Sus scrofa: one gene and its partners. The protein of the gene in region 2 purifies or fractionates together with the protein of the main gene of each other region. This does not show direct contact. Links are inferred from orthologs where the notes say so. Each region holds a gene or a part of one and is shown on either strand. Other genes may lie near its edges. The genes, in order: DEPDC5, WDR24 and CASTOR1.

Evidence for each region.
Region 1: the proteins of WDR24 (region 2) and DEPDC5 purify together in Homo sapiens (affinity purification with western blotting; 4 studies listed by BioGRID and IntAct, with this or other methods). This does not show direct contact. The link is inferred for Sus scrofa from reciprocal best matches to the Homo sapiens genes WDR24 and DEPDC5.
Region 3: the proteins of WDR24 (region 2) and CASTOR1 purify together in Homo sapiens (affinity purification with mass spectrometry; 3 studies listed by BioGRID and IntAct, counting the BioPlex papers as one, with this or other methods). This does not show direct contact. The link is inferred for Sus scrofa from reciprocal best matches to the Homo sapiens genes WDR24 and CASTOR1.

The regions. Positions count from the first base shown.
Region 1 is NC_010456.5:48,511,718-48,521,630, forward strand, and holds part of DEPDC5 (DEP domain-containing protein 5), read left to right. Parts: intron 1-1,442; coding exon 1,443-1,667; intron 1,668-3,869; coding exon 3,870-4,039; intron 4,040-5,323; coding exon 5,324-5,495; intron 5,496-8,585; coding exon 8,586-8,646; intron 8,647-9,913. UniProt on the Homo sapiens protein: As a component of the GATOR1 complex functions as an inhibitor of the amino acid-sensing branch of the mTORC1 pathway.
Region 2 is NC_010445.4:41,081,135-41,091,773, forward strand, and holds WDR24 (WD repeat-containing protein 24), read left to right. Parts: upstream 1-4,280; 5' UTR 4,281-4,955; coding exon 4,956-5,436; intron 5,437-6,507; coding exon 6,508-6,685; intron 6,686-6,822; coding exon 6,823-7,495; intron 7,496-7,988; coding exon 7,989-8,107; intron 8,108-8,185; coding exon 8,186-8,307; intron 8,308-8,385; coding exon 8,386-8,490; intron 8,491-8,569; coding exon 8,570-8,910; intron 8,911-9,070; coding exon 9,071-9,424; 3' UTR 9,425-9,494; downstream 9,495-10,639. Other genes in the region: FBXL16 (F-box/LRR-repeat protein 16), read left to right, coding at 76-160, 465-528, 773-921; JMJD8 (jmjC domain-containing protein 8), read left to right, coding at 9,743-9,834, 9,910-10,026, 10,214-10,262, 10,343-10,439, 10,524-10,592. UniProt on the Homo sapiens protein: Catalytic component of the GATOR2 complex, a multiprotein complex that acts as an activator of the amino acid-sensing branch of the mTORC1 signaling pathway. The GATOR2 complex indirectly activates mTORC1 through the inhibition of the GATOR1 subcomplex.
Region 3 is NC_010456.5:47,259,939-47,270,390, forward strand, and holds CASTOR1 (GATS-like protein 3), read right to left. Parts: upstream 6,792-10,452; 5' UTR 6,620-6,791; coding exon 6,507-6,619; intron 6,493-6,506; exon of another isoform or gene 6,140-6,492; intron 5,923-6,139; coding exon 5,852-5,922; intron 4,415-5,851; coding exon 4,010-4,414; intron 3,743-4,009; coding exon 3,619-3,742; exon of another isoform or gene 3,352-3,618; intron 3,183-3,351; coding exon 3,069-3,182; intron 2,905-3,068; coding exon 2,822-2,904; intron 2,731-2,821; coding exon 2,636-2,730; intron 2,506-2,635; coding exon 2,437-2,505; 3' UTR 1,967-2,436; downstream 1-1,966. Other genes in the region: TBC1D10A (TBC1 domain family member 10A), read right to left, coding at 9,505-9,990. UniProt on the Homo sapiens protein: Functions as an intracellular arginine sensor within the amino acid-sensing branch of the TORC1 signaling pathway. As a homodimer or a heterodimer with CASTOR2, binds and inhibits the GATOR subcomplex GATOR2 and thereby mTORC1.

The DNA of each region.
Region 1 (9,913 bases), on a different chromosome or scaffold from region 2:
CCCTTTCAGATGATGGTGCTTCTTGGGCTCCTTGTGTGACTCTGTCCCCTAAGTTGACGATCTGTCCTTCTTCTTGAGCGTTTGTCCTTGTTTGGGGCATCACCAGAGTGACAAGGGTTTCCTAAAGCCACAGTACATTCTTAGTGAGCACAGCGTGGATGGAAGATAAACCTAAAAGAGGCCAAGGGAAATGGCGAGGGAGTTCCCGTTGTGGCCTGGCGGGTTAAAAATACAACATAGTGTCTATGAGGATGCGGGTTCAATCCCTGACCTTGCTCAGTGGGTTAAGGATCTGTAGTTGTCGTGAGCTGCAGAGTAGGTCACAGACATGGCTTGGATATGGTGTTGCTGTAGTTGTGGTATAGGATGGCAGCTGCAACTCTGATTCTACCCCTAGCCTGGGAACCTCCATGTGCCGCAAGTTTAGCCCTGAAAAGCCAAAAAAAAAAAAAAAAAAAAAAAAAAAAAAGGAGTTCCTGCCATGGCACAGTGGTTGACGAATCTGACTAGGAACCATGCGGTTGCGGGTTCGATCCCTGGCCTTGCTGAGTGGGTTGGGGATCTGGCGTTTCCATGAGCTGTGATGTAGGTCGCAGACGTAGCTCAGATCCTGAGTTGCTGTGGCTCTGGCATAGGCTGGCAGGTATAGCTCCAATTGGACCCCTGGCCTAGGAACCTCCATGTGCCACGGGAAGCGGCCCTAGAAAAGGCAAAAAGGCCAAAAAATAAAGTTCACATGACATAAAACTAACCATTTTAAAGGGAATAATTCAGTGGCATTTAATATTGACAGCGTTGTACAGCCACCACGTCTATTCAGTTCCAGGCCATTTCCATTGCCCTGAAAGGAAGCCCCCTACTCATTAGCAGTCCCTCCTAAACGTCTCCTCACCCAGCCCCTGGCCACCACCAGTCTGCTTTCTGTCTCCAAAGATTGGCCTGGTCTGGAGTTCCCTGGTGGTTTAGCGTTTAAGGACCTGGAATAGTCACTGCTGTGGCAAGGGTTCAGTCCCCAGGAACTTCCACATACCACAGGTGCAACCAAAAAAAAAAAAAAAAAAAAAAAGATTGGAGAGCTCCCGTTGTGGCTCAGCAGTTATGAACCTGACTAGTATCCACAAGGACACGGGTTTGATCCCTGGCCTCCCTCAGTGTGTTAGGGATCCAGTGTTGCCAAGAGCTGTGGTGTACGGTCACCAACTCTGTAGCTCCAATTCAACCCCTAGCCTAGGACCTTCCATATGCCAACATGTAGCCCTATAAAAGCAGGAAAAGAAGATTGGCCTGTTCTGGACATTTCACCCAGTGACCTCATGCACCCCACAGCCTTTCATGACGAGCTTCTCAGCACCATGTTTTCAGAGTCATCGCTGTTGTGCACAAATTGGGGAGAACATGAGTGCTTATGCTGAGGGCTCCTCCTTCCCCCCCTGCCCTTCCAGTGGCCATGCAGCAGCCTACCACCTGGCACACGACAGCCATGGATGACTTCGCCAGCTTCCAGCGCAAGTGGTTCGAGGTGGCCTTTGTGGCTGAGGAGCTCTTGCACTCCGAGATCCCTGCCTTCCTGCTGCCCTGGCTGCCCAGCCGGCCGGCCTCCTACGCTAGCAGACACAGCTCCTTCAGCCGCAGCTTTGGGGGGCGCAGCCAGGCAGCTGCACTTTTAGGTAGGTGCCCGAGCAGATGGGGCCTGGGATGCGCTAGCAGGTGGCTGAAGCTGAGTGGCTGCCAGACAGGGGAGCAATGCCTCAGGGGCCAGGGTTACAGCCACCACAGCTATCAGTACTGTGGGCTCCTGTGCTGGCTTCTATTGGCCCAGTGGGCCTGGCTCAGTATTGTCCCACCAACAAACAGGGCTCAACGGTTCTCTCGAATCAGGGCAGGACAATAAACCTGTGGATGGGAGAGGCTGTGTGGGCTGGTGCTGAGCTTGCTGCAGCACACAAGACAGTCAGTCCCCCACAGCAAAGAAGTTCTGGTCCAAAATACTTATAGCGCCATGGCTAAGAAACCCTGCTGTGAGGTTTTGCAGGCCCTGCAAGATCCATATCAGAATAAGCCCTTTCATCAGAATAAGCCCTTTCACTTTCAAGAAAAGGAAGTTTTTTCAGGAGTTGCCATTGTGGCTCAGCAGGTTAAGAACCTGACTAGTATTCCTGAGATGCAGATTTGATCCCTGACTTCACTCAGTGGGTTAAGGATCCGGCGTTGCCATGAGCTGGATGTGGGTCACAGATATGGTTCAGATTCCTAGTTGCTGTGGCTATGGCGTAGGCTGGTGGCTACAGCTCTGATTCTGTCCCTAGCCTGGGAACTTCCATATGCCCCAGGTGTAGCCCTAAAAAGAAAGCAAAGAAAAGGAAGTTTTCTAAATAACTTAATAATTACCCTCCCTACCTTAAAAAAAAAAAAAAAAAAAAAAAAGCCAAAATCTAACAGATCTGTTTGGCAAAACAGTTTTCTAAAACATGGTCTGAAGCTCAGGATGAGATTCCAGTCATTCAGTTTAGCTTTGGTTCTTAGTTTCTTCAAAAAATTGTGGTTAGGAGTTCCTGTTGTGGCCCAGTGGAAATGAATCTGACTAGTATCCATGAGGATGCAAGTTCAATCCTTGGCCTCACTCAGTGGGTTAAAGATCCGGCATTGGTCTGAGCTGTAGTGTAGGTCACAGATGTGGCTCAGATCCCGAATTGCTGTGGCTGTGGTGTAGGCCAGCAGCTATAGCTCCAAATTGACCCCTACCCTGGGAACTTCCATATGCTGTGTGTGGCCTTAAAAAAAAAAAAAAAAAAAAAAAAAAAAAAAAAAAATTGTGGTTAAAAAGGAACACTCTATGGAAAAACATGTCCAAAAAATCAGAAGGGTGGGATGAAGAGAAGATGGATGTCTGCAGCAGGGAGTTTATAACCTGGGGCTGCGGGCACCAGGGGGGCAGTAATCCTGTAGCTGGGCAGCATCTTTCATATGCGAGTATTTGCTGGGAAAACATCCTCATGTTAACTTTTCATAGGCTCCCATGATGGTCATAGTAGAGTTTTACTCCATCAGCTTCCTTTCTCACCAGCCCTCCCACGGGAAGTGGGTTTCTTGTTCCTTTTATACCCGACACGGCATGATCACAGCTGCTTCTCTCCAGTAACATCTCCTCACCTTTGTGTTATGATCCGCGATCCTTCTTCGCAGCACTTTTTTTTTTTTTTTCTGGTTAGAATATAGACTTTAACAGTGTCATTTTTTTATGTGAGGAAGATCAGTTGTGTTGAGTCTTTTTCTCAGAAAAAAATGAATATGATTTATAGGGAAGAAGGGATTTGTATCCTTTATGACCTGCTCCTTTTTTTTGTTCATTCATTTCGTTGTGTTCCTTTTTAGACATTTCTAGTTCTCAGTTGGAAGTTAGCTGCAGAAAGGTGTTTTGAAATGCCTGGTCCTGTCTGGCTTGGCCCTTACTAGCTCCCACTTCCCCTCCCCTGTCATCTGGTGTCACTGAGCTTGGCGCTCAGGGGCATCCGAGACCCTGGAAAAAGCAGCCCTGAGTCCCTTGGGCAGCTCACGTGCCTTGTGCTTCTCAGCCTTCTCTTGACAGCCCACCAGACCTCAGGCTCTGGGGACTGTAGGGCACTCGGTCCAAACCCTGATACTTGGAGTTCCCTGATGGCTCACTGGGTTAAGGAGGAGGCATCATCACTGCTGTGGCTCAGGTTCAATCCCTGGCCCAGAAATGTCCATGTTCCTCAAGGAGCCTCTCAAGTCTGATGTTCTGTTAGGTGGTCCAGCAGTTTCATGTCTAGATGCTCAATTGTTTACTTTTCCCCCTTATCCTGCTCCTTCCCTTCCATCTCTTGGGGCCCTCCCACATGCTGACATAGCTGCCACTGTCCCGGAGCAGAGGACCGTGACCCTAGATGTGGATGTGAACAACCGCACGGACCGACTGGAGTGGTGCAGCTGTTATTACCACGGTAACTTCTCGCTGAATGCGGCCTTCGAGATCAAGCTACACTGGATGGCAGTAACTGCCGCAGTGCTCTTTGAGATGGTAAGACCCCCTTGCATGTGGTGGGCCTTGGCTCACCTGAAAGGCAGACGAGCAGGTGCTCGGTAGAGAATCATAATTATGTCACTTTAAAAGTTGTTTTAATTCAGACTCCTCTTACCTTCCAGCTGCCCTGACACCTTGCTGGTCCTTGCAGAGAGTCTGGGTGTATAGAGGTCCTATTTTTTTTTTTTTTTTAAACAGACATAGTAGCTCAGAATACATACTATTTATTCTTGTTGTATTAGTATTACCTACATATCTTCTGTATCAGTATAAATAAGTAAGCCTTGTTGTTTTTGTTTTGCGTCATCTTTTCAGGTTATTAAAATAACATTTGTTTCTTAAAAGTTAACATGTAGTTAATAGGAAATAAGTCATAGGAAAATGAAAATCACAAGAAGCAAAAATCGAAGTCATCCATAATCACAAGCATTTTACAGTTTGACATGTCCTTCCAGCTCCCATTTGTCTATCTGCACAACTAAAGATCCATTTTTATGTAATTAAGATCCTACAGTTAGCAGAGTTCCCTTGTGAAGCAGAGGGTTAAGGATCCAGCATTGTCACTCCAGTGGCTTGGGTCGCTGCTGTGGCATAGGTTCGATCCCTGGCTCAGGAACTTCCACATGCTGTGGGCAAAGCCAAAAAAAAAAAAGTATCTTAAGACTTAGAAAATTGCCACTGTTCCCCAAGAAAGTGCCTGCTGGGGAGGTTGGTCTTGATGCCCCAGTAACTTTTGTTCCTGGTCGTTCATTGGACAGACAGCATTTAGGAGTTTGCAGAGAACAGCTCTCCTTCTGCCAGGTCAGCGCTTGTCACTTTTGGCCAGAGTCTACAATGGTTGTCTTGCTGCCTGTGTCATGTCCCTCTTGGCCAGCCTGAGTGGACAGTTTTCCTATTTGATATTTTGGACTTAGTAAATTTTTGATAAAGGACAAAATTAGAAGGACTTAACCAATATCTCAGGACCTTCCCCCAACATCCATTGACCAAGAAGAGGCAGAAAATAGTTCTCCCTGGTCTTTCCTCCAAAAGAACCCCCAAGGTTGCAGAAGCTTGGGCCTGAAGAGGAGCTGTGTGCTCACCTCATGGTCCTTCAGGTATTTGTCAGGAGGTTATACTGTGCTTCTTCCTCCTGGGACGGGTCTGCAACCAGTGGACATTGATAAGTGAACATGTTAGTCAATGTGCAGGCTGCCCCCAGGCAGCACCCTCCTTGAAAGTACTTTCTCTTGTCAGAGGGAATTTGGAGGTGACACTATGTGTCTCTGTGTTTTCCGCCAGGTCCAAGGTTGGCACCGCAAGGCCACCTCCTGTGGCTTTCTGTTGGTGCCGGTGCTGGAGGGTCCCTTTGCACTGCCCAGTTATCTGTATGGCGACCCACTCCGGGCCCAGCTCTTCATCCCGCTCAACATCAGCTGTCTGCTCAAGGAGGGCAGTGAGCACCTGTTTGACAGTAAGACACGCCCCCACTCCCCCCCCCCCAGAGGGCCTGTCTCTGCAAGCAGACCCCTCCCCCGAGGTTGCCTCCTCTAAGTGCCTGGAGGCTAAGGAAAAGGTGGAACCTTTGGACGAGGGGCTGGAGTTTTAATCCTGGTTCTTCCCTTAGTGGCTGGGCAACCGTGATCAAGTCATTCGGTGTCTCTGAACCTCAGATGCCTTATTCCTAAAACGAGGGCGGCCAAAGCTGCCGTTCCAGCTCAGGAAGACCCTCCTGAGACCTGGAAGGGGTGGTGGGCGGGAGGGGGCACTGTGCTGTAAATGGGGAGCTGACTGGGATTCTCCAGACCTTAGCACCTCTATCCCAGAGCAGCCCTTGCCCATTGCCTCTGCTGTGTGACAACTGCCTCATACCACCACCTCCTTGCTCTGCTCCTGTCTTCACACCAGCCTGCAGGAGCCAGGCTGGAGCAGTAAGCTGGTGGTGGAGGCAGGCACTCGTCTGCCCTGCTCCCCACCCCTCCCAAGTGGGGAGAATTTCCAAAATTCTCTCTGCTCCAGCTTGACTGGTTGGGGCTGCGGGAATCTGAACCTCACAGGAGGCTTGGATCTGCTGTTCCATGAAAAAAGGCTGAAATGGGGACATTGAAAGCAAAACAGGAGACAGGGTGCAGGTGTCAGCACTAGGAGGCCCATCTCTCAAAGATGGCAGAGTAGGAGGACTCATTCAGAGCCCTACCCTTGAACGGAGCCCACAGACACCCACTACCACCCCTGCCCCAACCATCTTCCACTGGACTCCAAGAGCAGGTGGAGGGACAGGTCTGGGGACAAGCCACCATCACACAGCACAAGCTCATTCCAAGTGCTCATTGCAATGAGCATGTAATTGGTTCCTACAAAGCTTCCCATGAGCTCACAGATGATCCTTTTATAACGAAAACCTAGAGTTGCTGCTGGTGTGTCAGAGCACTTTGGCTTTTCAGGTATGGAAATGATCAATGTGGAAGAAAAAACTGACGCAAAGGAGAGGCCCTCTTCCCAGGTTCTTGTGAGTCTGCTGTGCTTGGTGACAGAGAACTGGCCCCCTAGGTGCAAACAGCTTTTGTTTTAAAGGCCCAAGTGTATGTTTTTACATCTTGGAAAACATCTTTGTATAGACACAAGGCTTTAAGTTATAGTTGGGGGGGTTCCAGGTAAGCTTCACAGCCCTGGAGGCTGTAGATCCCCTGATCCTTAGGGTTTACAAAGCACTCCCCACACTCACACATATTTTCCTTTCCTCTTGAGGTGTGTCCAAGAGGGGACCGTTTTTTGCAGTCCTGCAATGCCAGATGATTTCGTTTGTTCATACCTCACATCTTTAAGCCAGGCACTGCCTCTCTTTGTGTGTGTTTGTGTGTGTCTTTTTAGGGCCGCACCTGCAGCATATGGCGGTTCCCAGGCTAGGGGTCACATTGGAACTGCAGCTGCCAGCTTACACCACAGCCACAGCAATGCCAGATCCAAGCCACGTCTGCGACCTACACTGCAGCTCACTGCAACACTGGATCCTTAGCCCACTGAGAGATGCCAGGGATTTAAGCCATACCCTCATGATACTAGTCAGGTTTGTTACCATTGAGCCACACTGGGAACTTCACAGGCACCACCTCTTATTGCTGTTTCTAATATGTTGAGGGGATGGAGAGGTCTCCCCCCTACAACCGATACCATCCAAAGAAAGACCCTTTTCTGGGGTTTTCCACTTTTGCACAGGGTGCTTGCAGGGCTGACACTAGAGGACATTTTCATGTGAGCTGATGGTTTTCCCTGCCAGTTATAACCCACTCTTCAAGACCAGCATCCTCTGTTGGTTGCCATGGTTACAGCTGAGAGAAAGGAGTCCTGATTTAAAGGAATAAGGACCTGAATCTAAAAATCGATTTTCTTACTTTTGTGCCACTTCTCTTCTTGTTATCTCCCTTTCTGATAATAGGGAATGCAAAATCTTAAAGATCTGACAAGAGGGAGTTCCTGTTGTGGCTCAGTGGTTAATGAATCCGACTAGGAACCATGAGGTTGAGGGTTTGATCCCTGGCCTTGCTTAGTGGGTTAAGGATCCGGCATTGCTGTGAGCTGTGGTGTAGTTTACAGAGGCAGCTTAGATTCCTCGTTGCTGTAGCTGTGGTGTAGGCCTGTGGCTATAGCTCCGATTCGACCCCTAGCCTGGGAACCTCCATATGCCACAGGGGCAGCCCAAGAAATGGCAGAAAGACAAAAAAAAAAACAAAAACAAAAAACCTGACAAGAGTTTGCTGTGTCTGTTTTTTCTTATTAAAGCCAAAGTCTTTTTTTTTTTTGCTTTTGTGCTCTTTGGTTACCCAGAGCCTTCAAATCAATCCTATATATAAAATTCCAAATACAGAAAGCAGTAAAGCCCCTGCAGGCACCCCTGGTCCCTGGGACAAGGTCTTGTGTGGTTGCTGCTCCAACCCTCAGCACCTCAATCCCCAGAGCAGCCCTTGCCCATTGTCTCTGCTGTGTGACAACTGCCCCATACCACCACCTCCTTGCTCTGCTCCTGTCTTCACACCAGCCTGCAGGAGCCAGGCTGGAGCAGTAAGCTGGTGGTGGAGGCGGGCACTTGTCTGCCCTGCTCCCCACCCTTCCCCAGCTGATCACTTATCCAAAAATTCATCTTTATGTTTATTTTCTTCATTTCCCCAACCTCTAAAATGAAAGACTGTTAATTTTTTTTCCCTTAGAAGTGAATGGTGTGCATTTACAGCTTATCCTTTGGTTGCGTGTTAACATCCTGCTCCTTTCTGCTTTTCGCATAGGTGGTTATTAGAACAAGTCTCATGTTGAATACTGGTAGCTCATACTGGTGGCTGAGGGCCCATAATATTCCCTTTTCTAGACCCTGCTGGAGCTTGGGGACTGTCACTCTCTCTAGGATGTCCCTCCTTGGAGTAGAGGCTGGTGCTTCTGAAAGCAGGTGGTATGGAAAAGCCAAGCTCAGGCTCAGGGGGAGAGAATTGTAGTGAAAGATACTGAAGGCCATACCCAGGGAGAACTAACCTTGGAATCACAACTCGGCATTTATTCCTTTTTTTCTTTTCAGACTTTGAACCAGAAACATACTGGGATCGAATGCACCTTTTCCAGGAAGCCATTGCACACAGGTTTGTCCCTTAGCAAGAGGGAAGCATGGAGAGGCATCCGTGTTTGTTTTAAGTGGTAGTTACCATAGCGAAACCCAGTCCATGTGCTTTCTGGAGAGATGGACCCAGTCCACCACCAAGAGATTTGCTGCTTATCTCCGACAGACCCCTCTGCCTTGGTTTCAAAGATGAGCACTGCCTCTTCAGTTCCTGTAGCTGAAATTTTTCAGCCCCTATTCTTCTAGTTGGATGCAGAGATCTCTCTCCTTAGTCTCCAACAAGACCCTGAGCCAAGACTGCCATGAGATGAAAAACTGTAAAATTTGTTAAGAGCCCCTTGGCACATGTCAAAGAAATAATGAATGGTTAAAAAGCAGTAGATAAGTTTGGTATATATATACATATGCTTTTTAGGGCCGAACCCATGGCATATGGAGGTTCCCAGGCTAGGGATCGAATTGGAGCTACTGCTGCCAGCCTACACCACAGCCACAGCAACTCGGGATCCGAGCCGCGTCTGTGACCTATACCACAGCTCAAGGCAATGCCGGATCCTTAACCCACTGAGCGAGGCCAGGGATCAAACCCGAAACCTCATGGTTCCTAGTTAGATTCGTTTCTGCTGCACCATGCCAGGAACTCCAAGTTTGGTAGATATTTATTGATGTCTAATATGTGTAGCAGAGAAAGACTTTCCTAGGCTTAGCTGTCTATCCTCCAGAGCATCGAGTTAGAACATTGCTAACTCAGTGTCCAGTTGCTGCTTCATGTTAATTATGGCAAAAACAAAGCCTCTGTTCCAGGTTCAGTATCTTATCATATTGTTCAGGTGCCTTCAGACGTTCCACCCCCTCTCCAGGCTTCGCTGTACACACACTACCACAACCACAGTAAGAAGTCCAGGCTCTTCAGCCTCCCCAACCCAAGTGGGCCCAGGCTCACTTTAGACATTACTCTGCCCTTTTCTTCTCTGTTCTCTTCTTCGATACTTAGTAAAGGCTGTGAAATGAATGCCAGGGCATCTGACTTTCTCCCTTCAGGAGGAGGGGGTACGATTTGGGACAGTAGCATGCAGACGTTGGTGGCTGAGGGCTTTGATGTGGGGAGCAGACAGGCCTGGTTCACCTCTGCCTCCTCCACTGGCATCTGGTTGAGGCACCATGGGCAAGTCCTGGCACTGCTTTTCCTGTGAGTTCTCACCCCTCACAGGGCTCTTGAGAGGGTCCCCTGATGTCCTGGCCTTAATAAGCCCTCAGGAGACGGCAGTTATCACTAGGAAAACCCCAGC
Region 2 (10,639 bases):
AAGGGCGGGGCCGAAGCGGAGGGGCGGAGCGAAGTGTTTTGAAGGTTGGGCAGCCCGGCTCTGTTGCATCCGCAGGTGTGTACGCATCACGGACACTGGCCTCAGCTATTTGTCCACCATGTCGTCCCTCCGCAGCCTCTACCTGCGATGGTGCTGCCAGGTACCAGGCCTCCGCGCCTCCGGAGACCCGGGAGTAGGCAGGGGAGGTGGGGGGGAGCGGGGAAAGCCGCCACGCGGAAAGGACGCTGACCCGCACCCGGCCCACTCAGATCCTGTAAGGAAATCCGGGACCCCTCCACACACGCACTGGCCGACGTAAGCGCAACGCGTGGTGTCCCCAGGGCCCCCGCTGACTCATTGGCGAGCGGAGACACCACCCCCCGCCCCCTGTGTACTGGCCCCAGGCGTGCGGGTCCCTTAGGGCTCGAACAGAAATAGTTAACGCGCTCCGCCCTCCCGCTCAGGTGCAGGACTTCGGGCTGAAGCACCTCCTGGCCATGAGGAGTTTGCGTCTCCTGTCTCTGGCAGGTGAGACCCCCCTCCGCCCGCCCCCCTGCATAGTGAGCACCCACCCCCACCTAGCCCGACCGCGCCAGCCCCGCCGCGTGCCCTGTGCCAATCCGTACCTGGGGCTGACTCGCCGTGTCCCGGGTCCCAGTCAGAGGGCGGAAACGCCGGGCAACCGGTAGCCCTGCCGCGCCCCGCCCTCGGAGCCCTCGGAGCACTCGGGCCGCGCCCACTCAGCCGCCGCCGCCTCTCCCGCCCGCCGCAGGCTGCCCTCTGTTGACCGCCACCGGGCTGTCGGGCCTGGTGCAGCTGCAGGAGCTGGAGGAGCTGGAGCTGACCAACTGCCCCGGGGCCACGCCCGAGCTCTTCAAGTACTTCTCGCAGCACCTGCCCCGCTGCCTCGTCGTCGAGTAGCGCGGGGCCTCCCCGCCCCTCGGCCCCTCGCTCTCCTCCCGGCCCCGCCCCGAGCAGGGAGGGCGGCGGGCGGGCCAGCCCCGCGCACGCACGCACGCACGCTCGGGGACTCTGTGCATGCCCCTCGCGCCCGCACTGCACGCCCGCCCTCCGCCAACGCGACAGCCGCCTCCATCGTTCGCCCGCCCCCTGGGGGCGGGGGGCTGGGGCTCGGTCCTGGGGGCGCTTTGAGCTCGCCAGCCGGCCGCCGTGATCGCCGTCCCCGCCACACCCCGCTCTGTCTCCCCGCCGCCCCCCCACCCGGGCAGGGCCCAAGGGGGTTGAGGGGAGCTGGGTCCCCCAGGACACAGGGGCCCGGAAGAGCCCCCTGGGCTTCCCGCATCTCCCCCTGCACCGCGCCTGGAGCCCTCGGAGGAGTGCGAGGGGAAACAGGCCGCCGCCAAAGCCATGGCCCGCCCAGGAGCCCAAGTCCCAGCCAGCCTTCCCCCACCTCATGCCAGCCTGATCCCAGCGACCTCGCCTCTTACTTGCCGCCATGTGAGACCAGCCCTGCTCGCCCCACCCCCACCCCAGGCCTCAGGCCCTTGGGTCCTGGCTCGGCTAGGGCAGAACTGGACTAGGAGAGGGGCTGGCAGCTGACAACACAATCATCGACATTAGCCGCAACCCAGGGGTGGTGCGGCTACCGGGAGAGACCTGAAGCGGGTAGTCAGCCTCAGGGCCTCCGGGCCTTGGGAGCCTTCTTGGGTGGACCCCGCCCCACAAGCCCTGTAGCCAGCCCGGCCCGGGCCCCTCAGCACCACCCTCCATCCCGGGCAGGTCTCTGTCAGGTGGAAGCTGGAAAGGGGGCCCCAGCCAGCGACTCTGATCTTCCAGTGGCCAGCACACCCTCACCACCCAGGGGGAGGGAGGGCTCCTTTCCAGCCACGCCCCCCTCCCCAGCTTCCCAAATCTCTACCTGCCCACAGGGGCTCACCGTGTTCTGCCCAATCCCAAGACACTGGGAGGTCCTGGGGGTGCTGGCACATCTTGGCAATTGCTGAGGAGGGGGCTGGGACCCCTTTCCATCCCAACCTTGAGCCCCAGGATATCCAGCACCCATAGCCAATCTTGGGACACACCCTCCCCCCCATCTGGTTGGAAGAGAGTAAGCAGTTTCCAGAGAGCCAGACAGAGAGAGAGAGAGAAAGAGAGAGAGAAAGAGCGAGCGAGAGCTGCTGTTGAAAAGAAACAGTTCAACAGCCCAAAGATTTCCCTGCCCTTGGAGTGCTGGTCAGAGGCTCCAGGGCTGCGGTGGTCAGGAGCCAGTTTCTGCAGCCCCTCCTCCCCACAGCTCCCTAGTGGGGAGGGGCAGCTGTCCATTTGTCCAAAGTATTAATGCAACTGAAGCTGTGATATTTCCAACGATTGTAGGAGGAAAAATTAGGGGGAGAGAGGAAAACAAAACCAACCCCTAAAACCATTTTCTTATTGTACATAACGACCTCATTCTCCTGTATATGCGGAAGATATAACCTTATATTTGGTAAGTGTTTCTTGTGCTATTTTATCACGTGACCTGTTTATAAAAATATATATTAAAAAAAGTTGTAAAAACACGTCTGACTTGTTTGGAGGTCATCAGATCATGCTGGGGGAAGGTGTACCTCTCCTGTGTGACCCGAGTCTGAGTATGTGTGCAGCTCTCAGTGCATCCATTACTGGTTCTTTCAACAAAGAGGCAGAGGCTGGTCACACTGTGCCAGGCAGGAAACCCAGCTGGGACCAGCACAGAAGGTCCCTGACCTCTCATTGCTTAAATCGCTAAAATCATTACACATCGTATTCGCCCAAAATATTTAGGATCCTGCCCATCCTTCCAGAAGGGCAAAAATGAGCCCTGTTTGGGAGTTCCTTTGTGGCACAGCAGGTCAAGGATACAGAGTTTGTTGCTGCAGCAGCTTTAGTTGCTGCTGTCAGGTGGGTTTGATCCCTGGCCTGGGAACTTTCACATGCCCTGTTTCATGCAGAGGGTCACGAAGGTTAAGAAAGGTCAGAGGGGAGTTCCCGTTGTGGCACAGCGGAATCGAATCTGACTGGTATTCGTGAGGACGTGTGTTCAATCCCTGGCCTCGCTCAGCAGGTTAAGGATCTGGTGTTGCTGTAAGCTGCGGTGTAGATTGCAAACACTGCTCCCATCCCGCATTGCTGTGGCTGTGGTGTAGGCTGGCAGCTACAGCACCAATTCAACCCCTAGCCTGGGAACCTCCATATGCCCCAGGTGTGGTCCTAAGCAAAACAAAACAAAACAAAACAAAAGATTCGCAGGAAGGGTCGGGGAGTTCCTGTTGTGCCCCAGCGGGTTAAGAACCTAACACGGTGTCCATGAAGATGCAGGTTCAAACCTTGGCCCTGCTCAGGGGGTTAAGGATTTGGCTTAGGCCTGCAGCTGTAGCTCCGATTCCACTCCTAACCCAGGAACTTTCACATGTCCCAGGTGCGGCCTTAAAACAAACCAAAAAGGGGTCAAGGATGTCTTAAAAACTCACAGTGCAGCTAGGAGAGATGGGGACTCATACCCAGGAGAGAAAAGGAGGCTCTGGGAGGATCACTGATGTAGCCAGTTGTGTGGAACAGGTGGGGGTCCGGCACAGGAGCTCTTGTGGGCAGAAAGAGACATGCTCCCTGCCTGGTAGGGTTCACACTCATTTGCAACAGAAGGTAACTAGCATACAAAGGGAAGGGTCGTGACAAGTGCTGTGACGGTAACAGTTGACTGTATGGGCCAAGTTAGATGCGGTGGCCCAGAAAGGCCCCTTAACCAGCCACTCAGCTGAACCCTGCTAGATGAGGAGATGCAGCGGAGGGCGAGCGAGCCCGTGCGACGGCCGCGAAGCAGGAGAGAGCACGGCCGGCTGGAAGCCGCCATGGCTGGAGGTGCTCGGGGAGAGGAAGAGGCCAGGAGTTTGGGATTTCTTCACAGAGCATTGGGGACTTAAGGAGAATCTTAGGCCGACGAGTAGTACCTGTACGCTGTGCGCGTTCGGATCAGGGGGAACGAGGGACGCAAGGAGAGCGGTTACGGGGCTGCGCCCGGGATCGGGTGGGAGGGAGAGGGAGGGGGCGGAGACGACGGAGGGACTCGGGACTCGGGACTCGTTTAGGGTTGCCCGGACTTGCTGACGTACCTTCGCGGAGAGATGAGCACTGGTGTTAACATACTGTAATAAAAAGGCCACCAGCCGAGGCGGAACCGAGGGAACCCCTCTACCCTCGTCCCGGTCCACCCCTCCGCCTCCAGCAGCGGGGCTCCTCGACCCGGAACTTTTGTGGTGTGGGACCCGCTTCCGGTGAGAGACTGGCAAGAAAAGGACCACATCCGGTGAGGGGCGTGAAAGAGAAGGAGTGCTTCCGGTGCGGCGGTTCCGGCCCGGCCCGGCAGTGTTAGCGAGGGGTTCGGTTTCTCTCCGAAGGAACGACTTCTCAGTTCGTCTGGCTCTGTCTCGGTGCCGGCTGCCCCCGCTCCCTCGCCGCCTCTGTGCCGCCGGCCTCTTCTGCTTCCGGTCCCGCCAGACCCCCCTCCGCGCCCCGGGGCTCCTTAAGCAGCTCGATCCTTGAAGTCCCCCCGTGTCCCCTGTGCCTCTATAGCCTGTGTTCTCCGGGCCCCTCTAGTCCTTCTGCCCCCTCCCCTGAGGGCGGCTCCCCGGGCGAGACAGACCGACCGAAGGCCCAGTGACGGTCCTGATCTGGCAGTTGGGGGTTTGGAGAGGTGGCCTGGCAGGTACGATCTTCTTCAGAAGTGAGACATGGGACTGACTGGCCTCGAGGCAGCCATGGCGCCTTCTGACTGCCCAGCTAGGGGGATGGAACTTTCCTATCACACTGATTAACCGTAGACTGCCCTGGACCGGCTCCCGAGACTGACCAACCGAGGCCTAAGCCGTTTTGAAGGAACTACCCAGCTGACAGGCACTAGCCAATCCCCCCTCTCCCGCCCCCGCCCCCATCAGGCCTGCCCACCTCACTGACCTTTCCCCACCACTACGCGTGCAGCTATGGAGAAGATGTCCCGGGTGACCACAGCCCTGAGTGGCAGTGCACTGACAGGTCGCACCATGCACTGCCACCTGGACGCGCCAGCCAACGCCATCAGTGTGTGCCGTGACGCGGCCCAGGTGGTCGTGGCTGGCCGCAGCATCTTCAAGATCTACGCCATCGAGGAGGAGCAGTTTGTGGAGAAGCTGAATCTGCGTGTGGGCCGCAAGCCCTCGCTCAACCTGAGTTGCGCAGATGTCGTCTGGCACCAGATGGATGAGAACCTGCTGGCTACGGCGGCCACCAACGGTGTGGTGGTCACCTGGAACCTGGGCCGGCCGTCCCGCAACAAGCAGGACCAGCTGTTTACGGAGCACAAGCGCACGGTAAACAAAGTCTGCTTCCACCCCACTGAGGCCCATGTGCTGCTCAGTGGCTCCCAGGATGGCTTCATGAAGTGTTTCGACCTTCGCAGAAAGGACTCTGTCAGCACCTTCTCGGGTGAGGCCCTTGGAGGCGAGTCGGGCCGGTGTGCATCTCTGCAGGCGCCTGGCCTGTCTAGGCAGGTTGGGAAGTGCCGTGTGCATCACAGGCCCTCAGCTGTGCTTCCAGAGGGCTTCCTGGAGAAGGGGCAGGCCGAGCTGGCGCTGGAAGAGTGGGTGGAGGTCAGCGGAGGGGGGCGGGGGAGGCCTGGTGGAAGTGCGAGGCGCATCTGGAGTGTGCTCACAGCTCTGATGCACTTGTGGGGCCAGCCGGAGCTGAGGCTGAGCGTGGGATCGGGGAGAGGGCAGAGCCAGAGCAGATCCACAGCCACCCTGGGCAGCTGAGCAGTCTGTTTCTCTGCCTTGTCTTGCCTCAAAGCTCCAGACCACCTCATTTGCACAAAGTCTGCCTCCAGGGTCCTCAGCCCAGGGAAGCAGCAGCAGCACCGTGGTGTGTGTGTGTACACACTGCCTCGTCCCTCCAGAGGTCTTTTCCCTGTTGGCCCAGCTCCCTGATGACCCACCTCGAGCCGGCTCCCCCTTTTCCACCTCCAGGAGATCAAGTGAAGCACGGGGCAGAGCCCTCTGGGAATGGGGGGCACTCAGGCCAGACCTTGAGTTGGCTGTGCTGGGAAGAGCTGGACACTGCCCTTGAAGGCTCTTGGTGTGGTGGCCCATGGGGGTAGACGTGGACCCTCGAGGGCTCTGGTCCGCAGGGGCTGACCCGGCAGCTCCAACTACAGGGGAAGGGACTGGGCAGAATCCCGGCTGCCCCATCCATGCCTCCTTGGGCCCAAGGCCCCCAGAGGAGAGTGGACAGATGGTCCAAAGAGGCTCCTGTTCCCACAGTGCTCTGGTATCCAGTCCTGAAGCTGGGCACAGCTTTGCACGAGGACTGATGTCAGACACAGAATCCAGGGGAAATCGAGGCCCCAGAGCCAGGGCCGAAAGCCACCCGACACCTGGTGTTCCTCTTGCTGGCGCAGGCCTCATGTCTGCTCCATGAGGCCTCCTGGCCTGGGCGACGGCATCCCCATCCACTGCGAGGGCCCCCCACTGACCTGCACCCCCACCGACGTCCTGCCCGCAGGCCAGTCCGAGAGTGTGCGCGACGTCCAGTTCAGCATCCGGGACTACTTCACCTTCGCCTCCACGTTCGAGAACGGCAACGTGCAGCTCTGGGACATCCGGCGGCCCGACCGCTGCGAGAGGATGTTCACAGCGCACAACGGGCCTGTCTTCTGCTGCGACTGGCACCCCGAGGACAGGTGGGGGGCGCTGGGGCCGCGGGGCAGGGCGGGCGGGGCCTGTGGAAGGGCTCTCCCCGCCTCAAGCCCTTCGAGGCAGCGATCGGGGAGCCCTCCCCCCGCAAGAGGACCCTGAGGGCTTCCCGCGCCTTCTGCAGGGGCTGGCTGGCCACGGGTGGGCGCGACAAGATGGTGAAGGTCTGGGACATGACCACCCACCGCGCCAAGGAGGTGCACTGCGTGCAGACCATCGCCTCCGTGGCCAGAGTCAAGTGGCGGCCCGAGTGCCGCCACCACCTGGCCACGTGTTCCATGATGGTGGATCACAACATCTACGTGTGGGACGTGCGCCGGCCCTTCGTGCCCGCCGCTATGTTTGAGGAGCACCGTGACGTCACGACAGGCATCGCCTGGCGCCACCCGCACGACCCTTCCTTCCTGCTCTCGGGCTCCAAGGACAGCACCCTGTGCCAGCACCTGTTCCGCGATGCCAGCCAGCCTGTTGAGCGCGCCAATCCTGAGGGCCTCTGCTACGGCCTCTTTGGGGACCTGGCCTTTGCGGCCAAGGAGAGCCTAGTGGCTGTGGAGTCGGGGCGCAAGCCCTACACTGGGGATCGGCGCCACCCCATCTTCTTCAAGAAGAAGGTGGACCCTGCTGCGCCCTTCGCGGGCCTCGCCTCCAGCGCCCTCAGCGTCTTCGAGATGGAGCCCGGCAGCGGTAGCATGAGCTGGTTTGTGGACACGGCCGAGCGCTACGCCCTGGCTGGCCGGCCGCTGGCTGAGCTCTGTGAGCACAACGCGAAAGTGGCTCGGGAGCTCGGCCGCAACCAGGTACAGGGGGGGGTCGGGGGGGGGGCACGGGCTGAGGGCCGTGACCTCACGCAGGCACTCCTCTGACTGCTGCGCCCAGACCCTGCTCCGAGTTCAGAGCGCCAACGGAGCTCTTGCCCAGGTAACTGAGGGTATCGAGAACCCCAAGACTGGGCCAGATGCGCCAGCGCCGTTTTGGGATGCAGGTCTGAGGTGCTGTGGCTGGAGCCCTATCTGGCAGCTTACTCTGGCTTTTAGACTTCCCAGGGTGTTGGCCCTGCAGAGAAGGTGTGCATACTGCCTCTCTCATCACTTCCCTGGGACCCCAGGCTCCCTCCCTCCTTTCTTCTGGGCCCCTGCAAGGTCGAAGCGAGGCTTTTTCCTTCTCGTGGTCCTCAGTTTCCCAGCTGGGGCAGGCCAGGACATGGGTCCCTGGGGCAGCTGAAAGCTGAAGGGTTTGTGGTTCCATCCAGGGCCCCAGAACCCCCATGAATGATCAGGGCTCCCCCCATAGGTGGCGCAGACGTGGACCATGCTACGGATCATCTACTGTAGCCCTGGCCTGGTGCCAGGCACCAACCTCAACCACAGCGTGGGCAAGGGCAGCTCCTGCGGCCTGCCACTCATGAACAGGTAGATGCCTGGGGGAGGCTCTTCCCAGAAGGTGGCATTGTTGGAGCCTACCCACCCACTGGCCTTTCCTGCTCTCAGTTTCAACCTCAAGGATATGGCCCCAGGTCTGGGCAGCGAGACGCGGTTGGACCGCAGCAAGGGTGACACGCGGAGTGACACAGTGCTGCTGGACTCCTCGGCCACGCTCATCACTAATGAAGGTAGGCTGGGGGCAGGGACAGGGTGTTCACGGGAGCGGGGCAAGGGCATCCCAGAGTGAGCCGCCCTCCCTCCTGCAGATAACGAGGAGACGGAGGGCAGCGACGTGCCTGCCGATTACCTCTTGTGTGATGTGGAGGGTGAGGACGATGAGCTGTACCTGCTGGACCCTGAACACACGCACTGTAAGTGAGAGCTTGGGGAGGGGGGCGGCAGGTGGGGTCAGGGGCTCAGACCCGGCTGCCCCCCACCCCTGCATTGCAGCCGAGGAGCCCGAGTACGTGCTGCCCCAGGAGGCCTTTCCGCTGCGCCACGAGATCGTGGACACTCCCCCCGGGCCCGAGCACCTGCAGGACAAGGCCGACTCGCCCCACGTGAGCGGCAGTGAGGCAGACGTGGCCTCCCTGGTGCCCATGGACTCTTCCTTCTCCCTCATCTCGGTCTCGCACGCGCTGTATGACAGCCGCCTGCCGCCTGCGTTCTTCAGCGCTCTGGTGTGTGACATGCTCCACTTCTACGCTGAGCAGGGGGACGTGCAGATGGCCGTGTCGGTGCTCGTTGTGCTGGGGGAGCGCGTGCGCAAGGACATCGACGAGCAGACCCAGGTGGGTGGGTGTCTCCTTGGAGCAGCTGCCACCCCCATGACCCCCCCCCACTCCGCCTACACCCACACCCCTGTCTGTGCCCAGCACACTTGGGTGAAATCCCTCAATGTGCCCGCCAACCTGGCCTCCTACCTCCCTCCTCCTTTCCCTGCACCACCAGGAGCACTGGTACACATCCTACATCGACCTGCTGCAGCGCTTCTGCCTGTGGAACGTGTCCAACCAGGTGGTCAAGCTCAGCACCAGCCGCGCCATCAGCTGCCTCAACCAGGCCTCTACCACCCTGCATGTCAACTGCAGCCACTGCAAACGGCCCATGAGCAGCCGGGGCTGGGTCTGTGACAGGTGCCACCGCTGCGCCAGCATGTGCGCCGTCTGCCACCACGTGGTCAAGGGTCTGTTCGTGTGGTGCCAGGGGTGCAGTCACGGCGGCCACCTGCAGCACATCATGAAATGGCTGGAGGGCAGCTCCCACTGTCCCGCCGGCTGCGGCCACCTGTGCGAGTACTCCTGACCCCCCTGCGGGACCGGGAGGGGAGGGGTGGGCTTTTGAACCAAATAAAGAAAGTGGGAACCGCGCGGTCTAAGCTGCTTGTTACTTGGGTGCGTCGCTCACGGCCCGAGTCCCCGGTTGGGCGACTCCGGTACGTGTGTGACAGCGTGTCCTCAGCCGCGGGCAGTAGCCAATAGCAGCTCTAGGTGCGGCCCTGGCCCCGCCTTTTCGGACGTGCCCTCTCCTTCCGGGGCGGGCCCAGAAAGCTGCTTCCGGCAGCCGGGCCGTCGCCCTGACAGCGGGGCTCTCGGGGTGCCTCGCGGCAGCGGCGGCGGGCTCATGGCGACGGGGGCGCGGCCATTCCTGCTGCTCGCGCTCTGGGCGCTGGCGCGTCCAGCCAGGAGTCCCGGGGAAGAGGGCGACGGAGGGTGGTGAGCGATGACGGGCGGGCGGGCGGGGCGGGCGGTGGGGCGGCACGGGGCACTGATGAGCGGCTGCGTCCGCAGGCGGCGGCGCGAGCCGGCGGCGCCGGCCGTCGTGGTGGAGGAGGAGCGCTGCACGGTGGAGCGCCGGGCGGACCTCAGCTACGCCGAGTTCGTGCAGCAGTACGTGCACCCTCCCCGGTAGCCACACTCCCCACGCTCCAACACCCGTCACTAGGGCTCCCCCTGCACCACTGAGCCGAGAAGCTGGTCTGCCGGCCTGTCCTCTCGAAGCTCCCCTTGGGCTCGGGAGGGCCAGGGCGGCGGCAGCGGCGGCGGCGGCGGCGGGCGCCCATCGGACCTGGCCGTAACCTACCCTTCCTTCTAGCTACGCCTTCTCCAGACCTGTCATTCTGCAGGGGCTCACTGACAACGCGGTAAGTGCTCACGCCCGTCCTGGCCACCTCTGGCCCCTACCCCGGGCCTGGCCCCTAAGTCCTCTCCCCATCCCAATCAGAAGTTCCGGGCCCTGTGCTCCCGTGAAAGGCTGCTGGCCTCGTTTGCGGACAGCATGGTCCGGTTGAGCACTGCCAACACCTACTCCTACCAGAAAGGTGAGCTGCCCCACTCTGCTTTCAGCAAGCACCCTGCAGGCAGCAAGCACCAACCAGTCCTGACCACCCTCTTTTAAACTGCAGTGGACCTGCCCTTTCAGGAGTATGTGGAGCAGATGCTGCACCCTCAGGACCCTTTCTCCATGGGCAACGGTGAGCCAGATCTGGGTGGTCATGGGGTGAGGTGACTCAGCGGTGCC
Region 3 (10,452 bases), on a different chromosome or scaffold from region 2:
ATCCTCCTGGCAGATGCCGGATGTCAGGCAGAGGGACCATGGGCAGAGCCCTCCCTGGACATGGACTGCATCTTCCTGAGGACAAGGACTCAGGCTCCAAGGTCTGGAGCCTCGACCCTGGTGCTCAGGAGTGGCTGCGCTGAGGTGATCAGGTGGACCAGGGCTCTCAGGGTGCCTGCGAGTGTCCCCAGGCCCAGTTATGAATGACCCAACCCCAGACTTGGGCTGCCCAGACTGACTTCCCTTGTCCTAGAATTCTCCAGGATTCTCAGCCTGGGCAGCCTGACAACTTTCTGTCTGAGGGCACCCAGAGCACCAACTGTGCTAGAAGTTCAGGGTTACATCTCTTTTTCAGAGATGCTATGTCCTCTAGGCATCTCCCAAACCCTGTGGCCCAACCCTCAGAAGGTCTGGGTCTCCTGACATCCCCACAGCAGGTCTCCCCATCTGTAATCTGTGGAGGCTGAACTGGTCCAGTGACCCCAGGGACCCTAATGCCAGAGAGCTAAGCACCCTCCCCAAGCTTACACATGTGAGGCACAGACCCAAGTGGGTATGCTGGTTTCTAGGCCTGGGTCCGAGTCAGATCATCCCACCAGGCGTGCCTGTGGCTTCCTATCCTGACCAGTCCAGAGGGCAGCCCCAAGAATGAACCTGTGCCAAGTTAGGACCCACTTTAACAGACATGGGAAGCTGGGATGACTCACAAGTGGACAGAGAGAAGGACAGACTCCCAGAGCTGGACATGCGGCCAGAGGCTCTCTAGCCACAGGTCAGGCAGCCCCAAGAATTCTGGTCCCATCTCAGCCCAGGACATCCCTTGAGCCAAAGCCCAGGGAGAAAAGCAGGAACACCCCCCGCCCCACGAGCCCAGAGACAAACTACAAATAAACGTCCCCTTCCCAGGGCCCTTGGGTTAGGGTCCTAAAGGAGCTGCCTCCTGGGTCTCAATGCGCAGGGAAACTGAGGCCAAGGGGAAGAGGCTGGCCCAGGGTCCCCGACAGCTCACTCACCGGGCTGGGCTATGCTCCCTGCTCCTCTGATCTGCAGCCCCCGGGTTCCCAGGGCAGGGTGGGCGCACTGCCAGAGGCCTGGCCTGGTTCTGGCTTTTCTGGGGAGCCACCAAGACCTCTGAGTACGCCGAAGTCACACCCTTCTTCCCTTCCTGGGCACAGGCGGGCCTAGGCTGAGGGCACCTGATAACCTCCCCAGCGTCTGTGGGGCCCCCTTGGGCCACGGTGGAGTCCCAGCTCACAGAGCGGGGAGGCGGCCCCTCTGTGGCAGGAAACCTGGGCCCAGATGTGTGGAGCCTCTGACCCCAGCATGCGGCCATCACAGGAAGAGTGGGCTCCAGGTGGCCTCCAGGTCCTTGTCCTGTCCTCCCAGCCAGGTGAAGCCCAGCATGTGGGCTCCCAGGTCCCCGCTCTGCCTGGCTCCCTCCTACCACTGCTCCAGTGGGAGCTCTGGTGGCAAGAACTGATCAGTCTCCTGTGAGGGACAGCCAGAACTCAGGTGTGGTCCAAAAGAAAGCAGGCAGCAGCCTGGAGAAAAGGTGCTTTGGGGCCCCCCTTAAGGGTGTTTTGCAACAGGCCAGCCACACCCAAGGTGGCAAGGAGCCTGGGGGAGCTCCAAGCAGGAAGGTCCAGGAGCCTCTGCCCCTGTTCTGAACCGTGTAGACTATTCAAAAGCAGCAAGAAATGAAGAAAGTGACTGGACCCCAGAGCCAGGCAGCCCTGACAGGAACCATAGGACCCTGGCTAAGTCACTCCACCTCCCACCTCTGGTCCTTCATCTGGAGAATGGCAATGGTTCACCTACGCTCTGGAGGTGAGAATGGTGGGAGGTGAGGCGATCCCGGCCTGAGCCAGCTGCACAGGGAGAGTCCAGGATCTCAGGCAGAGGGGCCCCCAGGGGCAGCAAAGTAGCTGTGGCCAAGGCTTGAACAACCCCAAAGACCACAGCCCAGCCCACTCACTACAAGCTCTTTATTAACAAGTTGATAAAAAAAGGAAGAGAGAGAGAGATGTAAAAATACTTCTGGTGGTCCCAGGAAGGGGAGGCACTTGTCAGAACTCACCTGGCCAGGGAAGGCAACCCCCAGCCCGAGGCAGAACGGAGATCAGGGCCCTGTCCAGGAGCAGCCAGCCAGACGGGGCTACCGAAAGGGGGAAGGCTTGGGCCTCAGGCAGGGAATGTGCAAACGCCGAGGCCCAGCAGGGAGTGATGGGTTGAGGGCTTCCTGGAGGAAGCCCTGAGCACCGTATTCCCCTGTGGGGGGCAGACACGTGTGTCCACGTGAGAGCCGGTGCTCTGCCCACAGCTTATATACACAGAGCAGAAGGAGGGATCCCCCAGCAGGAATGTCCCAGAGCTTGAGGAAATATTCGAGAAATCTCTGGAAGCCTGAGGGCAAGGGGAGAGGCCGGAGGCTGCTGCTCAGGAGCCCAGGCCCTCCTGCCGGCGCTGGAGGACCTCGATAGCACTGCTGATGCCGTCCTCGGGCACCTGCGGGCAGGTGGACAGAGGAAGGTGTCACGGCTGCTCAACTTCCTGGCCTGACTGGGACCACCTCCTGGGCCCCCTCCTGGGCCTCAGTGTCCCTGCAGGAGCCCTGGCCCCAGACGGTGGTGCTCACCAAGGCATGGTCGAAGTTGAAGGTACTGATGTAGTAGGCAGAGATGTCAGCCGCAGCCAGGGGACCTGCAATCTGGGCCACGATCCCACACTCATCTGAGGGTGGAGGAGGGGGTCCATGTGGATCACCCTGATGCCCCCCTCCTGGCCCTTCCCAAGCCCCCGACACACAAGGTGCAGCCCTCACCAAAGCCCAGGGGCTGTCCGCCGATGCGCACCATCCTCCACAGCTCCCCCGAGGAGCTGGTCAGCAGCAGGTCACTGGGGAACCTGGGGAGGCAGGGGTGGTGGGCAGGGTACCCTGTCTCTTCCTTGCCCCACTGTGAGCCCCCAGAGCAGATCAGCCTGATGACCTTGGAGTCTGATGTTCCACCTCCTTCCTCTTAGGGACTGGCTTAGGGTCTGTGGCCCACCTGGGGTCAGGGGTCACGTACTTTTTCTGTGTCTCAGCATCCATGACAATGGAGATGTAGCCCTCGATGAGGGAGAAAGCAAAGAAGGTGATGGAGCTGGATCCAGGACTGCCAGAGGCTGCCTCCTTAGGGCCACTGGGAAGGGATAGGAGGCTCAGGCACTCTTCCCTCTCCCTCTCTGCCCAGTGGGCCTCTAGACCCCTGGGAAGGGGCTGGCACAGGTGGCCCTGGGAAGATGCTCATGTCCCTGAGCCACTTTCCTCCCCATGCCATGGGTAGGGATGGGGGAGGAGGATGAACCTACTTGTGCCAAAGATGCAGGATCCCAGGACCACAGGGCCTGACCAGGGCACACTTCAGGAGTAGCTCTGCCCACCCCAAAGGGAAGGGCTCCAGCTGCAGCACCAGGACCTTGCCTGAACCTCAGTGAAGGGCCTGTGGGCACTGCAGGCTGCCAGGAACCCCAGACATGGAACAGGGTACAGCACTGCAGAGCCAAGGGACTGGTGGAAGGTGGTGGGACAAAGCGTAGGGAACAAGCTGTGAGATCAAAGAGACAAACAAGGCCCACCTGTGCGAGTAGAAGAGGACATCGATGAGGGTGGTGGCGATGGCTGGCAGTGTCTCAGGGTCCAGCGTGAGGACACAGAAGCGGTTCTGTGGGCTCTGGATGGGATGCACTGTGGGGCTGGGCCCTGCTCAGGGAGCAGGTGGTGGTGGGTGAAAGGGAGACTGTGGGCTGGAGTGCCCCCTGGTGGCCAGCCAGAAAGGGGGCCTGGGCTAGGTGTAGGGTCACTTGCTACATACCGGAATCTGCCTTAGTTTCCCTGCCGTGTCTCCCTATCTTGTGAGGGGGTCAGTGTCAGCTGGTCTCCCCAAGCCCACAGACCCACCCACAAAGGGAAGGGCCCCAGTGGGAAGAGGAGCCCCCACCAGGCCTGGGTGTCAGAGGTGACCCTCACCATGCTGGGCACGGGGAAAGCCGTTGCTGGAATCATCCCTGGCAACAGGAACAGGCTCCCCGCCCACCTCTCGGTAGATATCAAATTCCTGGGCCAGTGTGTGGATCACCACGGATAGGTCCTGCTCCCGCACCTGGGCCACAAAGATGACACAATACACGGGTCCCCAGGCACCCGTGTCCACCCTGCCTTGCCCCAGCACCTGCAGGAAACTCACCAGGATGAAGTCTGTCTGGTAGGTGGACAGCATCAGCACGGACACGTGGTGCTCAGCCAGCGGTGCAATTACTGAGCGGGCAATCTTGGTGACCCCAGCAGCCTGCACTGCTGTGCCGCTGTGGGATGACACATTCAGCACTAGCCACGTGGCCTCGGCCACTTGTAGGAACTCAGACGTGGGCAGCTCTGTGGGGCAGGGGGACACACCCAGTCAGGGCCTGTAGGGCTGGCCCCTGGCCTCAGTTTCCCTGTCTGCGCTTTGGAGGGCTCTACCAAGGTAAGGTCCACTCTGGAAAATAGAGCTGTCCTCCTCCCCCAAGTTCTGCTCCTGAGACCTGCATATATGCAAAGACTGAGAAGTGCTTTGGGTGTTGGCCTGTCAGGGATTGAAACTTCCCAGTTAAAATGGAAGCTTGGAGTTCCCGTCGTGGCACAGTGGTTAATGAATCTGATTAGGAACCATGAGGTTGCAGGTTCGATTCCTGGCCTTGCTCTGTGGGTTAAGAATCTGGCGTTGCTGTGAGCTGTGGCATAGTTTGCAGACGCGGCTCAGATCCTGAGTTGCTGTGGCTCTGGCGCAGGCTGGTGGCTACAGCTCTGATTAGACCCCTAGCCTGGGAACTTCCATATGCTGCGGGAGTGGCCCTAGAAAAGGTAAAAAATAAAATAATAAAATAAAATTGGAGCTCAAAATTCAGACAGACCTGGGTTTTAATCCCAGCTTCATCATTTACTTTCTGTTGACCTGTGGCAAATGATTTAACTTCTGAGAGCCTGTTTCTCCTACAGAAACTGAGTATGTATGCACTGAGTATCAGAGGCCTTACACCATGTGGTACCACCAGGGGGAGCCAGCAGTCCAAGTTGGCTGGGAGATGCCTTCCTCGTTAGCAGACCCAGACTTTTCCGCAGCATAAATAGGGAAACTAAGTAGCCCTGTAGGGGAGGGAGGGAGCCCCAGCTGGCTGGCCAGAGACTCCAGGCCTGTAAGGATGGGTCAAGCTGGCAGGAGAGAAGCCAGATATCAGCTCCAGGGATCAGGGAGGGACCAGGCTGGTGTCCAGTCCAGCACATGGGCCACAGCCAAGGTGGCTGCTAATCGCCCAAACACAGCTAGGAGGCCCCGTAGGATCCTGCCCTGGGCTGGCTGCCGGCTCCTGCATTCCTTCCCCAACCCTCAGACTCTCGGAGTTCCCAGACCAGTCAGGGAGGGAGTGACCCACACCAGGGAGTGAAGCCCAAGGGGAAATAATGGGGTGGGGGGCAAGAACAGCCACAGAAGCCTGATTCTTGCCCCAGAGCTGTAACTGAGGCCCTGCTGCTGGTCTGTGGCTGCTAAATGCCCTTTACACACTGCCCCATTTATAAAACCCTCATGGGGCCAAATAGATCAGAACCGTAACTATATCCATTTTACATAAAACGAAATAAACAACTCAGAGAGGGGAAGTGACTTGATCAAGGGCACACAGCCAGTGAGTAGTGGAAATGGACTGGAACCCAGATCATCTGCCTTCAGGGCCCCAACTCTTGGTACATTAGATCCTAGCATTCTCTTAGAATCCTGCAAAAAGGGGAGGACAACCTCCTTCCCCTACTCACCCTCCCCAGCCCAGTCCCCACCTTTGAAGCCCTCCTCGTCCACCATGAGCGTGTAATCCTCAGGGGTCTCCGTCAGGCTGAAGAATTTGCACCTGGGTGGGGGCAGGGAGCATCTTCAGCCTGGGTGGGCGGAGGGGGCGGGCAGACACCCCCCACCCCGGCTGGGCGTCTCCCTGCCCCCTCCAGACTCAATTTCCTCCCCAGAACAGTGGGGCGTGGGCCCCATCTCCAGAATTGCGAACCGTTTTCCTCCGCCCAGATCTCTGCAGAAGCCCCTGCCCAGCATTCCAAGAGGAAGGAGAGGCTCACCCAAGGCGGCAGTCCCGGGCGTCCGAGCCCCCTTAGACCAGCCCCTCTGACCCGATGAGAGGCAGCTGGAAAAAGTTCTCCGAAGTTGCCAGGAAGAAATGCCCCCATGTGAAACCACTAGGAGTTAAGCACTGACCATCCCAGGCTGTCTGCGCCTTAACAAGCTCTGTGAGGGGGCCTCACGAGCCGGATAGGCGGCGGTCCCAGGGAGGGTAGGCCCAGGCCGGATGGCGGCGGTGGGGAGCGGGGGGCGGGGAGCGCTCTCCCTGTCTGCTCCCGCTGGCCCCGCGGAGGTCCTAATCTCCCGATCCCATCTCAGAGTGACAGTGCAGCCCACCCCCCTCTGTGCCCGGACCCGGACGCGCACCGGCTTCGGCGGGGCAGGAAGAGCAGCTTGATGAGTGGGTGAGTGTAGAGCCAGAGACCGGGCCGGGCGAGGCTCAGCACCCGCACCCGGTGCTCTAGGATGTGCAGCTCCATCGCGGTCCGCGCGGACCCGACCCCACGGCCAAACAGACCCAGGCCGTGCCGGGGGCGGGGCGGCGGGGGCGGTGCCGGGAGGTGCTTAAAGGAGCCGCTGCGCCGCAGAGTCCTAGCCGCCAGCCACGCCAGCTCCCTGACGGCCACGCCGCGCAGGACTGGGGGCCAATCCAGGGTGGCCACGCCTCCTTGTAACGCTAGAGACTCACTCCGCCCCTTATGGCCCCGCCCCTTCGGCATTGGCTCCGGAATCACCACCTAACCCCACCCCCGTCGCGTCCTCCAGGCCCCGCCCATGCCTCTCCCCCACTCCGGGCTCCGCCCTTTCCGCAGGACTCCCGCAGCTGCTCCGGAGAGCCCGGGGAGGCTTGGGGTCTTTTCTGCACTAAGGGCCTTCTGATTAAGTTCACCAAGGCTTGGGAGGGCCACAAGATGAACCGGGGCTCGGCTGTGACCAGAACACTGCTCCCAAATCCTTGAAACATGGGTGGGTAGGGGTCCACTGTGCAACCTAGGAGACGTTGTTGTTCTGTCCCAATAAAGGGTCCTGGCACCTTTCCCTCTCCTTCCTCTGATGGCTTAGCATGAGGCAGGGCCACCAGAACTGGCTGGGGTGGCAGTGAAAAAAGTTCCACAGCCCAGGATAGCACTGATACAAACCCCTCCAAGCTTTGTGAGCCCTGTGAGTGGGCTAACAAGATGAAACCCAACCTGAACTTGGTGGTCCCCACATCTGTTCCTCTCACCCACCTTTCAGAGTAGAAGGCTCCCCACCAGAATCAAAGATGGGGAGGGCCCCAGCTACCTCTGAGCAATACACTGTAGGGTAGGGAGCTGAAGGTAGTCTGGACTAACATTTGAGGCTTAAGACTTAAGTATTTGGGACAGGAATGCCCAAAGCTCAAACTTTGGGGGGCAGGGCCATGCATCCAGAGCCCAGTGTGTAGTCAGACTTAAAAGCCTACAGTCATTAGAACTTGGGCCTGAGCACATTTAAGCTTGTTTCATGTCCAAGGAGGCCCCCAGATCTGAAGCTTGTTAGTGCCACCTTGGGTTCATTTCAACATTAGGGCTGGGGTCTGCTCAGGCCTCTCAGGTTTGCAAAGACCCCAGTGCTGAGCAGACATCAGCACACCTAGGTTGGTTTCCCAGCAGGATGGGACATGTTCCAGGGGCCCTTGCCTGGCCTGCACATCCTCAGGCCTCAGATCCAAGGCTTTGAACCAAGCAGGTTAAAGCAGGCCTCAGGCCTGATTGGGTCCCAGCAGGCCTGAGCAGGCCTCCTACCTGCTGGGGCGGGCGGGCGTGGGGTGGGGGGTGGCGGCAATTGCACGCAGCTAGTAGTGGGGCAGCACCTTCCCTCCCTGGACTCACCAGTTTGGTGGGTTCTGCTGGAACACTGCAGCCACCACATCCTGGCCAGACCCCTAGAGGGCCAGGGGGTGGGAGGTGTCCTCAGGAGGCTGAGCCCCTCATCTGGTTGACGGCAGGTGTACATGGGGTAGGAAGCCACAGGGGTAAGGGGCAGGAGGTAGGAAGGGTGTGGTTTGCCCTGACAGATTCATGTGACCCTTGACCTCCTCAGGCCTCAGTATCCCCAGCTGTACCAGGACAAGATGTTCCAGGCTGAGGCCCTGAGATGCTTAAAAGCTCCCAGGGAGGCTCTAGTCCTGCCTCCCTGCTCCCCCATTGCCCAGCCCAGCTTGGTGGCCAGCCAAGAACAGTCACTATTGTTTGACTGGAAAAGCTGCTTCCTCAGCAGAAGGGGGGCCTCTCCCAGGGACACCCTGTCCTCACCCTTGCCAGTCATCAGCTATGACACTACTGCCAACTTGGGCCTTCAATGGCAAAGTCAGGAGAGGTAGTTGGGGGCTCTGGGTACAAATCTGGATCAGCTTCATTTTTCCCACTTAGCTCCTGTTTCCTTATCCATAAAAGGGGGACAATAATAAAACCTACCTGATCAGGCATGTGACACAACCAGCCCAGCCTGGCATATGCTACATGGCAGGTAGCCTTTCATCAAAGATACAGATTTGGCCCCACACCCCTTTGCTTTTGATGGAGGCCTGGGATGAGCATGTGAGGGCATTCATGATCCCTCACTCTTGGCACCAGCACCCAACCCAGAATGAATACTCATTACCTTATTGGGGTCCAAAATAGCATCCAGGCTAGACCTTAGAAGAGGAAGACCCTTAAAAGGACCTCCCTAAGGAACCCCTCCCCTTCGGTGATGGGCAGGGATCAAGGCCTGGGGAGCAGGCTCTGCTCTGCCCCAGCACTAGTGACCCTCATCCATGGCAGATGGTGAACATGGGTCAGAGGGGACAGGATAAGAGGATACAGGGGCCAGGAATAGGAGCGGGCCCTAGATTTGGCCTCCCCTCTGGCAAAGGTACTTCCCAGAAAGGCTCTAGTGCTGCACTAGGACCAGGATGGGGCCTCTGCAGGGTATGGAGAAGAATGCTGAGCACAGCGGGGGTCGGGGAACAGACCCCCCTCTCCAGTCCCTAGCTGCACACCAGCTCTCTACACAAGCCTGTTTATTTCTGTACAAAACCATGTTTCTATTTTACACAAAGAGCACCCCACCCTTTATCCCTCCCTCTCCCCTCACATCAGTGCCCTGGTCCCGGAGAACATGCCTCCAGGAGGAGGGGGCCAAACAAGGCCTCACCCACTTCTGCCTGCCCCAGCTGGGCCTGCCCAAGCTCCACTCTGGAGAAAATAAATAAGGAGGCTCAGGCAGAATCTGTGCTGGGCCAGCCAGACTCCCTGCCGACCAGGCGACCGGGCCCTCAGAGGGTGGGCAGGCCCTGAAGTCAGTCCATGTACTGTATAGGTGTGTGGAGACCCCAGCCCCGGGGCCTGAGCTGCCATGGTTACAAGTAGGTGTCCTCACTCTCCTGGGATGTCAGGCTCTCCTGGGAGCGGTGGTGGGCTGTGTCCTGGGGAGCTGAGTCTTGAGGGGCTGGGTCCTGGTGGCCTGGGTCCTTCGAGGGCACATCCTGTGGGGGACATGCATCTCCAGCAGCGGCCACCACTTTGGCTTGACTTGTGGTTGTGGGCTTGTCTGGCTGCCCACTCGCCTTCGCCTGCTTCCGCTGTTCCTTCTGCTCCTTCTGGACCTGCTTGGATGGCTTGGACTTGCCTTTGGAGCCAGGGAGGGGGGCGTCCGGAGGCAGGCGGATGGATGGTGAAGGCTGCAAGGTGGGCCATGGGCCAGGCTCTGCCTCCAGGATGGCCTTGGCGCCGTGCAGCCTGGGCGACGAGTGGCACTGCAGTTCACCCCGGGTCTCCTGCCAGCGCCGCAGCTGGATGAGGTGCTCGCGCTCAATCTGGCGCTCTGTCACTGACAACTCTACCACCTGTAGGGGTGGTGACAGGCAGGTGGGCACCAGGAAGAAGAACCTTCCCCTTCTGCCCCCCAGCCTGGGCCCCTGCTCTCCCTCAGCTGTCCCAGCCCTGGTCACTAAAGTAGTGGTGGTCAAAAGTCCCTGAGTGCCAGGTGAGCCAGGAGTTTTATACTCACTGCCTCAGAGGAGAAAACTCCCCACAACTCTTGAGTCTACTTGCCTAACTATGTGTCACCCCATTTCAGCCCCAGATACAAATCCACAATGGAAAGAAAAAAAAGGGAAAATAAAGCAAAACCATGGTTATGGAGCCAGGGAGGAAGGGGGGTGATGAGCTGCATCTACTCATATTCCTGAAGACCTAGGCCTCTCTGTGCCTGTTCTTCTCATGCAGACAGAAGGATGAGATCTGTGCACAATCCTGGGCTGCTGAGCACCAGGCCTTGGGGGCAGAGGGCTACCAGGCCCTCAAAA